Linked DNA regions of Anolis sagrei. The protein of the gene in region 3 binds, or shares a complex with, the protein of the main gene of each other region. Links are inferred from orthologs where the notes say so. Each region holds a gene or a part of one and is shown on either strand. Other genes may lie near its edges.

Region 1 (3,754 bases), on a different chromosome or scaffold from region 3:
GGTCTCTCACCCTTGACCAAAAGATGGTGATCACGATGACCAAGTGGGCCGTGATGGTCAGGAACCGTGCGGGTACCACTCCGCTGACCAAAGGCATTCTCTCCAAGCATCCAAAGGGCAATGCAATCCTGTCAACAGAAAGGACAAGAAAAAAACAAACAAATCACTACAAAGTGTTAGCATGGGATGATAGGTGCTAATAATAATAATTTTGTGTGATTGGTGTGGACTTGGCACAAACTTTTAAGTGGACATGATAATCCTATCCTAGTTATATTTTACCTTGTCCACATCAACATATTTTCAATTTTAATCTATTACATTTGGCCCGGCCATTTTTAAAATTGTTTATGTCACTATTGACTGTTTTTTGTTTATGCGATTTATATTATTTGTATTTGATTGATTGATTGCTTATTGATGTTGTGCTTTGATATTTTGTTTGATGTACTTTGGGCTTGGCCTCATGTAAGCCGCATCGAGTCCCTTGGGGCGATGGTAGCGGGCTACAAATGAAGATTATTATTATTATTATCATCATCATCATCCCCACACCATGTCCGTCCCAGTACAGATCTGTCCTCATGATGCACTTTCTCTCATCCCTTAGTGAAGGTCAACCACATTGTTCGCCCTTCTGAGTTCTCCCCCAGATACACAATATTCCATTTACCTAATCTCACCCAGGGTTTTATCAATTTTATCCTGTGCATTTCGCCTGCCCACTCTGTTTTTATTCTTCCACTATTTTATTTTGTGTTTGTTTATTGTGTATTTGTTTGTATTTTATTTATTTATTTATTTATTTACGACATTTATATGCCGCCCTTCTCACCCCAAAGGGGACTCAGAGAGGCTTACAAGATATATATACATACAATATATTATATTATTAGCATAGTACAATATAAGTATTATATATTACTATATTGTACTATACTATTATATTATAATATTAGTAGCAATATTACATGTAATATAAAATATATAATTATAATATATTTTACTTTGTTATTATTATTTGCTATTGTATTTTACTTTGCTGTACTGTAATCCTTGGGCTTGGCCTCATGTTAGCCACCCCGAGTCCCTTTGGGGAGATGGTGGCGGGGTATAAATAAAGTTTATTTGTAAAACTTAAAACATCCTTGTAAGTTAAAACTTGTGCGCCAGCTGCGCCTGTACCTTGGGAAGTCTGACTTGGCCACGGTAGCCCACGCTCTGGTTACATTCTGTATAGACTACTGCAACACTTTCTACGTGGGGTTGCCTTTGAAGACTGTTCGGAAGCTTCAAATGGTCCAACGTTCGACAGCCAGGATACTGACAGGAGCGGTGCTCAGGGAGCATACAACTCATCTGCTGCGCCAGCTCCACTGACTGCCAGTTTGCTACCAGGCACAATTCAAAGTGCTGGCATTAGCTTATAAAGCCCTAAACGGTTCTGGCCCAACTTACCTGTCCTAATGCATCTCCTTCTATGAACCAGCTAGGACGTTAAGATCATCTGGGGAGGCCCTGTTCTCGGTTCCACCTGCATCACAAGTACGTCTGGTGGGGACAAGAGACAGGGCCTTCTCAGTGGTGGCCCCTTGGCTGTGGAACGCTCTTCCTACAGAAATTAGATTGGCCCCCTCCCTATTGGCATTTTGGAGGAAAGTGAAGACCTGGTTATTGGAGCAGGCATTTAAATAGGCAGTGTAATGAATATAGGAATATGGAACAACGGATGATGAGATTGGATCTCGATTCTACTTATGAGACGCTAACGAGATGTTATAGCTATGTTTAATTGATTGTTTATTATGTCATTGTTTTAATTGTTTTTTAACTGTTTTTATGATGTTGAGCATTGAATTTTGCTATTGTTAACCGCTTTGAGTCGCCCAAGGGCTGAGAAAAGCGGTATATAAATGAAGTAAATAAATATTATTATTGTTGTAATAATAATAATAGTTGTTATTGTTATTATCATTATAATAACTCGCTCCCTCAAAAACAAAACAAAGCCTTGCACCTGAAGACACTTGACACATTTAAAACCTGCCAATTAAACATAGAATCAAAGAGTTGGAAGAGACCTCATGGGCCATCCAGTTCAACCCCATTCTGCCAAGAAGCAGGAATATTGCATTCAAATCACCCCTGACAGATGGCCATCCAGCCTCTGTTTAAAAGCTTCCAAATAAGGAGCCTCCACCACACTCCGGGGCAGAGAGTTCCACTGCTGAACGGCTCTCACAGTCAGGAAGTTCTTCCTCATGTTCAGATGGAATCTCCTCTCTTGTAGTTTGAAGCCATTGTTTCGTGTCCTAGTCTCCAAGGAAGCAGAAAACAAGCTTGCTCCCTCCTCCCTGTGGCTTCCTCTCACATATTTATAAATGGCTATCATGTCTCCTCTCAGCCTTCTCTTCTTCAGGCTAAACATGCCCAGCTCCTTAAGCCGCTCCTCATAGGGCTTGTTCTCCAGACCTTTTATCACTTTAGTCGCTCTCCTCTGGACACATTCGAGCTTGTCAACATCTCTCTTCAATTGTAGTGCCCAGAATTGGACACAATATTCCAGGTGTGGTCTAACCAAGGCGGAATAGAGCATGGGGAGCATGACTTCCCTGGATCTAGACACTATGCTGTACAAACAGTACAATCTGCTTAAATTCCCTCTTCTGTATAACCATTCAAGGCCTAAGAGGCCTGTCCTTTATTTCAACTACAATTCCTAATGGAATTCATCATATTAATTAATGAACCAATTAATTAATAGAGCCCCATATCCTCCCCACTTTACTCACCTATTGTTTTGGCGGGAACATTCAATTTTTCCCCAGGGCTCGATTTTAAGGCCTCAACTCTAGGCCGCGCCGTTGCCCATAGCAACCGCTTGGGAGGCTTGTTCTGTTCTGTTTTGCCCGCTTCCTAGAATATCGCGAGATTTTACCAAGCGTGACGAAGCCTAGTCGACCATATTGACTGTGGGTAAATGCCCATCCTCTTAACCTCTTGCTTGCCATTTCGTTCCTCTCAAAGGAAAAGGCTCTTTTCCAGTTGCTGAGATTACTGATTACTATTTCTCAGGAGGAGGATTAATGCAGTTTGACTTTAATAATAGTAAATAAATAAATACTTTGAAACAATGGTTTTAAACTAATAATAAATACCTTTAAGTGCCATTTCACAAACGCTCTGGAATCCTGGGATTTGTAGTTTTGGTAGGGCACCAGCCCATTTTAGCAGGAAGGACTTTTAGTAAATAATAGTACATAAATAAATACTTTGAAATAATGGTTTTAAACTAATAATAAATACTATTAAGTGCCATTTCACAAACGCTCTGGAATCCTGGGACTTGTAGTTTTGGTAGGGCACCAGCCCATTTTAGCAGGAAGGACTTTTAGTAAATAATAGTAAGTAAATAAATACTTTAAAATAATGGTTTTAAACTAATAATAAATACCTTTAAGTGCCATTTCACAAACGCTCTGGAATCCTGGGATTTGTAGTTTTGGTAGGGCACCAGCCCATTTTAGCAGGAAGGACTTTTTAAAACTACAAGTCCCATGGCATCTAAAGTGGTGTCAAACTGCATTAAGTCTGCAGTGCAGATGCACTCTTGGATAATTGCTAATAATTGGATAATTCTAAATTTAGGGAAAAAACAATTAATTAATGCAGTTAGCACTCTTTGGCAGTCAAAGCTAAAAAGACCATGGTAGACTATAATACCCACGTTTCCATAGCAGTTAAAGTAGTATCA
Region 2 (3,754 bases), on a different chromosome or scaffold from region 3:
CATAATGTAAAATAATAAAAATAAAGGTGAAATCCTGAATGCAGCCATCATTGTTTCAAAGAGAGATGCCAGTGATGTAACTCTGCCTTACGTCACTTCTCGGCCATTCTCTTTTAGGAGAAGTGTCAAGTCCCAGGCCTTTGAGTGAATGGATCCCAACCTATTGTGCTCCACCGACCTGTGTGGATCCCCCATTTGCAGAAAAGGCTGCTGCGAGGGAATCCGCTGGCTCCCACGATCTGACCGATGACATGGACCTCCGCCATGGACCTGTGATACAGAAAAAGAGACATTTTTAGAAGGAGATGCCAAATCATTAAACCAGTGGTTCTCAACTTGTGGGTCTCCAGGTGTTTTGGCCTTCAACTTCCCAAAATTCTGCCAACCTAGTAGTTTGAAAACATGCAAATGTGAGTACATCAATAGGTATTGCTCCAGCGAGAAGGTAAGGGCACTCCATTCAGTCATGCCGGCCACATAACCTTGGAGGTGTCTATGGACAACACCGGCTCTTCGGCTTAGAAATGGAGATGAGCCCCATCCCCAGAGTTGGACACGACTGGACTTCATGTCAGGGGAAAACCTTCACCTATTACTACACTATGTAACAACATTTGAAAAGAAATTCTGTTCCTAGTTTGAAAGTATTATTTCCTGTTTAGTTGTGTGGTACTTACTTTGAAAGTAGTTGTTTTACTAAACAATATCTCAGAGTACTTGTCAGGTATCAGCACAAACACAAAACAATCTATGTGTAATGTCAAAGAGTACTATCAAAAGAGCATATAGTATTCCATTTACCAAAATCCTCAGTACATAGCTCAATTCAGTGGCACACAGCAAAATCAAAAGGAGCAGCCGCTCTCAAATGTAACAGTTCTAGGTCTGGATAAGGATTACACTGTATATAGGCTTCAGGGATACATTCAATAAGAAAAATCATATAAACAAAGTAAGCATTGAGTCATGAGGCTATATGTAGACTGAAGACAATAATGAAGATGGAGCACCACTCTCAAAACAATCTTCATGGACTTGATTTGGATTTTTTCCATGTGATTCCTTCCTCGGTCGCTTAAGCTTAAGGAAAGAGTCTGAGGCTCTTAGGAATTGTGGGAGTTGAAGTCCAAAACTTCTGGATGTCCAAAGCTTGCCTATGCCTGTTTTAGAAACTGCACTTCTACATTTAACCTATCTATCTATCTATCTATCTATCTATCTATCTATCTATATAATAAAAGTCAGTGTTTGTATGCGGAGGAAAGACGGGAGGGAGGTGTATGCGGCAGCGTTCTGATTGGCTGCCACTGTGGGTACAATTTGCATATGCTCTCTGATTGGCCAGCCTCAAAACTCCAAGATTCTGAGGTGACAGAAGAGAGGAAAAGGCCTGAAGCTGTGTCACAAAATTACCAATACAAACCAAACTTGGCACACAGAGCCCCCATGACCCACACTCCATCCTGGAGCAGTTTGGAGGAGGATGGACCACAGATGATGGGACTCGCAGTACCTTCATTAACTTCCTGAGGCCACTGCGAGCCATATAAATAACTTATAAAGACCAACCTTGATACACAGTCAGGTCCCCTAGTCGGGTCCCCAAGCTAGTTATAACTAAAACTAAGGACTTATACAGCTTGTAAACACAAAATACGGCTTGTAAACATAAAAATAAAACACAATGTCCTCCAACAAGCAAAAATTTGGCAGTTTAGTACACTTTCCCCGTATTTTTATGATAAAAACCCATTGTTGCTGTTGTTCATTCGTTCAGTCGTCTCCGACTCTTCGTGACCTCATGGACCAGTCCACGCCAGAGCTCCCTGTCGGCCGTCACCACCCCCAGCTCCTTCAAGGTCAGTCCAGTCACTTCAAGGATGCCATCCATCTATCTTGCCCTTGGTCGGCCCCTCTTCCTTTAAAACCCATTAGGAAATGACATTTATAAGCTAGGAACAAAAGTCATGTTGGGCAACCACTTGTCCACACTACACAATTAATTCAGTTTGGTACCCCTTTAACTGCCATGACTTAATGTGATGCAAACCTGGGAGATGCAGTCTGGCAAATCACCAGAGGAATCTAAAACTCCAACTCCCAAGATTCCCTAGCAACCAGCCCTGGTAGTTCAAGTGGTCTCAATCCGCATTAATTCCACAGTGTAGATGCCCCCAAGGAATTCCAAACCTTTGGGACTACAACTCCCAGCATTCCTGAGCAGCATACAAGGTTGGCGAGGCTGCTGGGAGTTGAAGTAAATCAAACCCCAAAATAGCAAAGTACTACTATCATTTTATGTCTTTTTAAATGCTATTATCCATTATTTTATTATATAGATATTGTTTTTTTGGGAAAAAAATAAGAATGTGGTGCCCATGTAACGTTTGCACGCTTCTGCGTTCACACGTGCGCACGACACGGGTCTCCCCGGCTCCCTCTGCGCACGCGCACTGGGCATACCCCGCTCTCTTTCTTACCTGAGAATCTCAGCAGCTCCGCCGCCTCAGAATCCATCCATCGCTTCTAGGCCCCGTTGCCTTGGCAACTCGAAAGCCACGCCCACAATGCTTTTGAATATGATTGGTAGAAAGAGACGTCCCACTCGGGACCAAAAGGCGTTAGGGAACGAAACGGCCGCCATCTTGAGTGAGGAAGAAAATGGGACGCCATTTTGGAGCCACGCTAAAAAATATCGGTGACATGACTAGTCGGACATGTTGAGTGTGGCATGAGGAAGAAGCAATGAAAATGCCCAGCTACGGCGTGTGTTGTCCGCCATCTTGGGTGCTCTTCATAGAGGGCTTCCACGGAGGCCATTTTGGAAAGGGCATTTTCCTTCTCTGTTGCTAGGCAACGAAACCTCTGCCTGAATTGCCCTGAGTTCAAATCCTTGCTCCTCATTATTATTCCTCCTGCTTTTATCCACACATTTAAAACAATACAAGGTTAAATAAAGGTAGAAATGCTAGATTTTTAGAAAACTATATGAAAACATGTCTCCTCCTCCTCCTCATTATTATTATTCATTTAAAACAATATACACTTAAAGGAAAAGAAAAACAGAAAAAATAATGCAAACATTAAAAAATACCACAATGCACTAAATAAAACAATATAGAAACTCTTCATCTTCTTTCTAGCTATAAACATAATAACTGAAAAATCCACCACAGGCGTCCCAGTGTTTCTGACTCTCTCCATTGGTGTGGAATTTGCATAATCCCACCCACTGCCTCACTCTTAACCCTTTCCTATTCTTTTCTATGGCACACAGCAAACAAAGCATTATTAATCAGCAACTGAATATATTGGAGAGGTTTGGGGGAGAATTCACCGTGATTTATAGGAGTTTTGGGGAGAATTCACCGTGAACTATACATCCCATTTGTAGGTACTGGGATGTATAGTTCGCCTGCAGTCTAAGAGCTCCACTAACAATGGACCTGGAACTAACTTGACGCACAGAACCCCCCATAACTATCAAAAAATACTGGCGGTCTTTGGAGAGATTAATAGGAGTTGTAGTTCACCTACATCCAGGACACACTATGAATGCAAACAATGATGGATCTGGACCCAACTTGGGATCCATACCCAATAGGAACACATTTGAATACTGGTGGATTTTGAGGGAAATTGGCCTAGACATTTTGGAGTTGTAGGTACTGGGATTTATAGTTCGCCTGCAATCAGTGAGCATCCTTAACTCCACCAAAGATGGAATTGGACCAAACTTGGCACACAGAATCCC
Region 3 (3,754 bases):
GATGCCTATGCTATGCAAGCCACTTTGTCTCCTTTTAGAGAGAAAACGTGGGATATAATGTTGTTAATGTAGCCACACTGCAAGAATTGTACGAGGGTTGAATGAAAAGTAATGCCTCCACCTTCATAACTTGGGTTTGGATGGGAATATTTTCATAAATCAAACGCAGAAATAATCCTTAGAATGTGCTCTTTAACTACTGCTATTCATTTTGCCACATAATCACCAGACAATTGGATACATTTCTGCCAATGATGAACAAGTTTTCTGAAGCCATCACGGAAGAAGTCGACACTCTGTATCCGCAACCCACATCTCACAATTCTCTCTATGTCTTTATCAGAAGCAAATTGATGCCCCCGCAGATCTTCTTTCATTATCAGGAACAGATGGAAATCTGACGGTGCTAAATCTGGACTGTATGGAGGATGTTGTATGGTGGTGAGATCCAGTCTCTGAATTTTCAAGTCTACATCGTGGATACCCATCATGCACAGATCTTCCGATAGCCAAGCAAAGCAATAATGTGACCCACACGTTCTTGTGAAATGCCGATTATGCTTGAAATTTCTCTCTGAGTGATACGACGATCATCCTGAATCAATCTGTCAACCTTTTGCTTGTGAAGCTCGGTGGTTGCTATCACAGGACGTCCAACTCTTTGTCTGTCATGCAAGTCAGATGTTCCCACCACAGCATCTTTAAACTTTCTCATCCAACGACTTACAGTACTCACATCAACACAATCACCATAAACAGCTCGCATTCTCTGATGAATCTCCTTTAGGGTGACACCTTCTGCTGTCAAGAATTCAATGACTGCACGTTGCTTAAGTCGCACTGGCCGATCGTCTGCACAGGGTTCCATACTTCACATTATAACAACACAAGCATTCAATGCTAAGGCTTCCTGTCAAAATGGGACTGTAGAGGAGAGTCTACTGAACAAGCCAGCACCTGCCGCATATTTATTTATTTCCTATATTTATACCCCGCCCTTCTCCCCCCGAAGGGGGACTCAGGGCGGCCTAACAAAAGCATCATCCGATGCTAGCATCATAAAAACAACCACAGTACAATCAAATTTTTAAAAATTAAAACAATTAATTAAGACACATCCATTAAAATCAAAATTCAAAAACAAGTCCGCGTCAATTCATTGCCATAAGTTATGTGATCTTCTTCCACTTGCTGCTCACTGATCAAATGCTTGGTCCCATAACCAGGTCTTGATTTTCTTTCTAAAAGACGAGAGGGAAGTGGCCAATCTGATATCTCTAGGGAGGGCATTCCCTCTGGGGGGGGGCACTGCTGAGAAGGCCCTGTCTCTCATCCCCATTAACCGTGTTTGCAATAGTGATGGGGTTGAGAGCAGTACTGTTGAGAAGTTACGAAGGGGGAGGCATTACTTTTCATTGAACCCACGTATCTGTTTGACATCATTTGGCTCAATGTTATGGATAAACTTGGGCCCTCCAGAGTTTGCCACCCCCTCAGATGTTTTGAGGATGGGGGAAGGAAGGGGCCTGAGGTTGTTAGGAATTGTGGGAGTTGGAGTCCAAAACCTCTGGAGGGCCCAAGTTTGCCCAAGTTTCAAAGAGGGTTGGTTACTGCTCTAGAGCCCTGGGCTTTGTTGCTTCACCTTCATCCTTCTGTCAGAGAGCTACACACACTACAAACCCCAGCATTCTGTGGGACTGAGGCAAGGCAGCTCATACCTCACTACCTCTCCATGGGTTTAATTCATCCCAGAGAGGAAAAACATAAAAACTAAAGCACACCCTTGGCCTCTTCCTAATGCTCTTTCCAAAGGGCTCTAGCACCCCCTGCTGAAGTATTTTGAACATAGAGCGAATTCACTCCACTTGGCAAGTGTTGACTGTATCCAGGCTGGGATGAGGCCCCAAAGAGAAAGCCTGAGATTTGAGGCTTTCGCTGCCTTCACAGGAGGCTTTATGGTTGTTGGTTTTTCTCAATTACGGATTCACCCCTCCCCCCTCCCCAACACACAGTCATTTTGGGTTAAACTCCAAATGGGAAGGGTGGGAAACAAAAGCTCGCCATAGGGACGCGAGAAGGCCCTCCAACTGAGACTTTTCTTCTGAGGGAAGAAAGGGAATAACGGGCACCTTTTAGGAGGGGAACGGCAAAGCCCCCTCGCCTCGCCCTCATCCCCCCTCCCCTCCCTCAGAACATGCCAATCAAGTCATCGCCTACCTACCGCTGAGCGCGCGCCGGGGACCTCGAAGAGGAAGGGGGCGGGACGAGCGGCTGCTAGGCGACGGCGGGGAGGGCACGTGATAGCAGGACAGGGCGAGCATGCGCCCTGGCGCTCACTCAGCCTCAACGGGATAAGACTACAGGAGGATTTCCTCTCCCTCCGCCTTCGAGATGCAGAATGAATGGGTTTGGCAGGACTTTTAAGCGCGCTGTGGAAGCCGGGGAGATCTCTAGCCTTTCCCTCTCAAGCAGGGTTGGTTACTCACCAAACTCCAAATCCCAGGCTTCCATTGCCTCCAGCGATGACAATTCAAGGGGTCTCAAACCGCATTAATTCTATACAGTGTAGATGCAATAGATGTCATACAATATAATGCTACTAATAATACAATATAATAATATATAATACTCTAATATAGTAATACTAATATATTAAATATAATTACTACTACTACTAATATATATATATATATATATATAAAATTATATTATATAATAATATAATATTATCTATCTATATATATATATATATGACTGCGTTCCATGCAGTCATGCCGCCACATGACCTTGGAGGTGTCTACGGACAACACTGGCTTAGAAATGGAGATGAGCACCACACCCCAGAGTCAGACATGACTGGACTTAATGTCAGGGGACTACCTTTACCTTTACTAATAATATATAATATACTGTTTTATTTTGATATATTTGAAGTTGTAATGTTTTTGATTTGAACCTCTGATCAAAGCCCCCTGGTGGTGCAGCGGGTTAAACCACTGAGCTGCTGAACTTGCTGACCAAAAGATTAGCGGTTTGAATCTGGGGAGTGGGGTGAGCTCCTGCTGTTAGGCCCAGCTTCTGTCAACCTAGCAGTTCGAAAACATGCAAATGTGAGTAGATCAATAGGTACTGCTTCTGCAGGAAAATAACAGTGTTCCAGGCAGTCATGCTGGCCACATGACCTAGGAGGCGGCTACGGACAACGCCAGCACTTCGGCTTAAAAATGGAGATGAGCACCAACCCTCAGAGTTGAACACAACTAGACTTAATTAATGTCAGCTTTATCTTTATATGGAGAGATAAAGCGGGATGGATATAAATAAACAAATGCACCCTAAATTTAGGAAACTCTACTGTTCTGCTGTTCCTGTGTCAGTCCCTAGGGTCAGTCCAATTAATTGGTTTCTAATAATAATAATAATAATAATAATAAGTTTCTTAGGTCATGGAAAATGAACATGCAAAAATACTGTAGGACTTTCGAATCCAGACTGACAAAGTTTTGGAACATAACACTCAAGACATCACAATTGTGGAAAAGAAAAAAGTCTGGATTATTGATGTTGCCATACCAGGTGACAGTCACATTGAGGAAAAACAACAGGAAAAACGCTGTCAAGACTCAAAATCAAACTTTTTTTTTTGGTCATGTAAGGGGTGACTTGAGAAACTGCAAGTCGCTTCTGGTGTGAGAGAATTGGCCATCTGCAAGGACGTTTCCCAGGGGACGCCTGGATGATTTGATGTTTTTAT

The links.
Region 1: AHI1 (region 3) and TMEM107 share a complex: the UniProt entries of both Homo sapiens proteins name them as parts of the tectonic-like complex. The link is inferred for Anolis sagrei from reciprocal best matches to the Homo sapiens genes AHI1 and TMEM107.
Region 2: AHI1 (region 3) and B9D2 share a complex: the UniProt entries of both Homo sapiens proteins name them as parts of the tectonic-like complex. The link is inferred for Anolis sagrei from reciprocal best matches to the Homo sapiens genes AHI1 and B9D2.

What each region holds. Positions count from the first base shown.
Region 1 is NC_090026.1:7,271,232-7,274,985, reverse strand, and holds the start of TMEM107 (transmembrane protein 107), read right to left. Parts: upstream 2,929-3,754; 5' UTR 2,793-2,928; intron 129-2,792; 5' UTR 98-128; coding exon 11-97; intron 1-10. UniProt on the Homo sapiens protein: Plays a role in cilia formation and embryonic patterning. Requires for normal Sonic hedgehog (Shh) signaling in the neural tube and acts in combination with GLI2 and GLI3 to pattern ventral and intermediate neuronal cell types.
Region 2 is NC_090034.1:98,816,984-98,820,737, forward strand, and holds the start of B9D2 (B9 domain-containing protein 2), read right to left. Parts: upstream 2,571-3,754; 5' UTR 2,481-2,570; intron 271-2,480; 5' UTR 267-270; coding exon 179-266; intron 1-178. UniProt on the Homo sapiens protein: Component of the tectonic-like complex, a complex localized at the transition zone of primary cilia and acting as a barrier that prevents diffusion of transmembrane proteins between the cilia and plasma membranes.
Region 3 is NC_090021.1:80,416,543-80,420,296, reverse strand, and holds the start of AHI1 (jouberin), read right to left. Parts: upstream 2,299-3,754; 5' UTR 2,222-2,298; exon of another isoform or gene 2,218-2,221; intron 1-2,217. UniProt on the Homo sapiens protein: Involved in vesicle trafficking and required for ciliogenesis, formation of primary non-motile cilium, and recruitment of RAB8A to the basal body of primary cilium.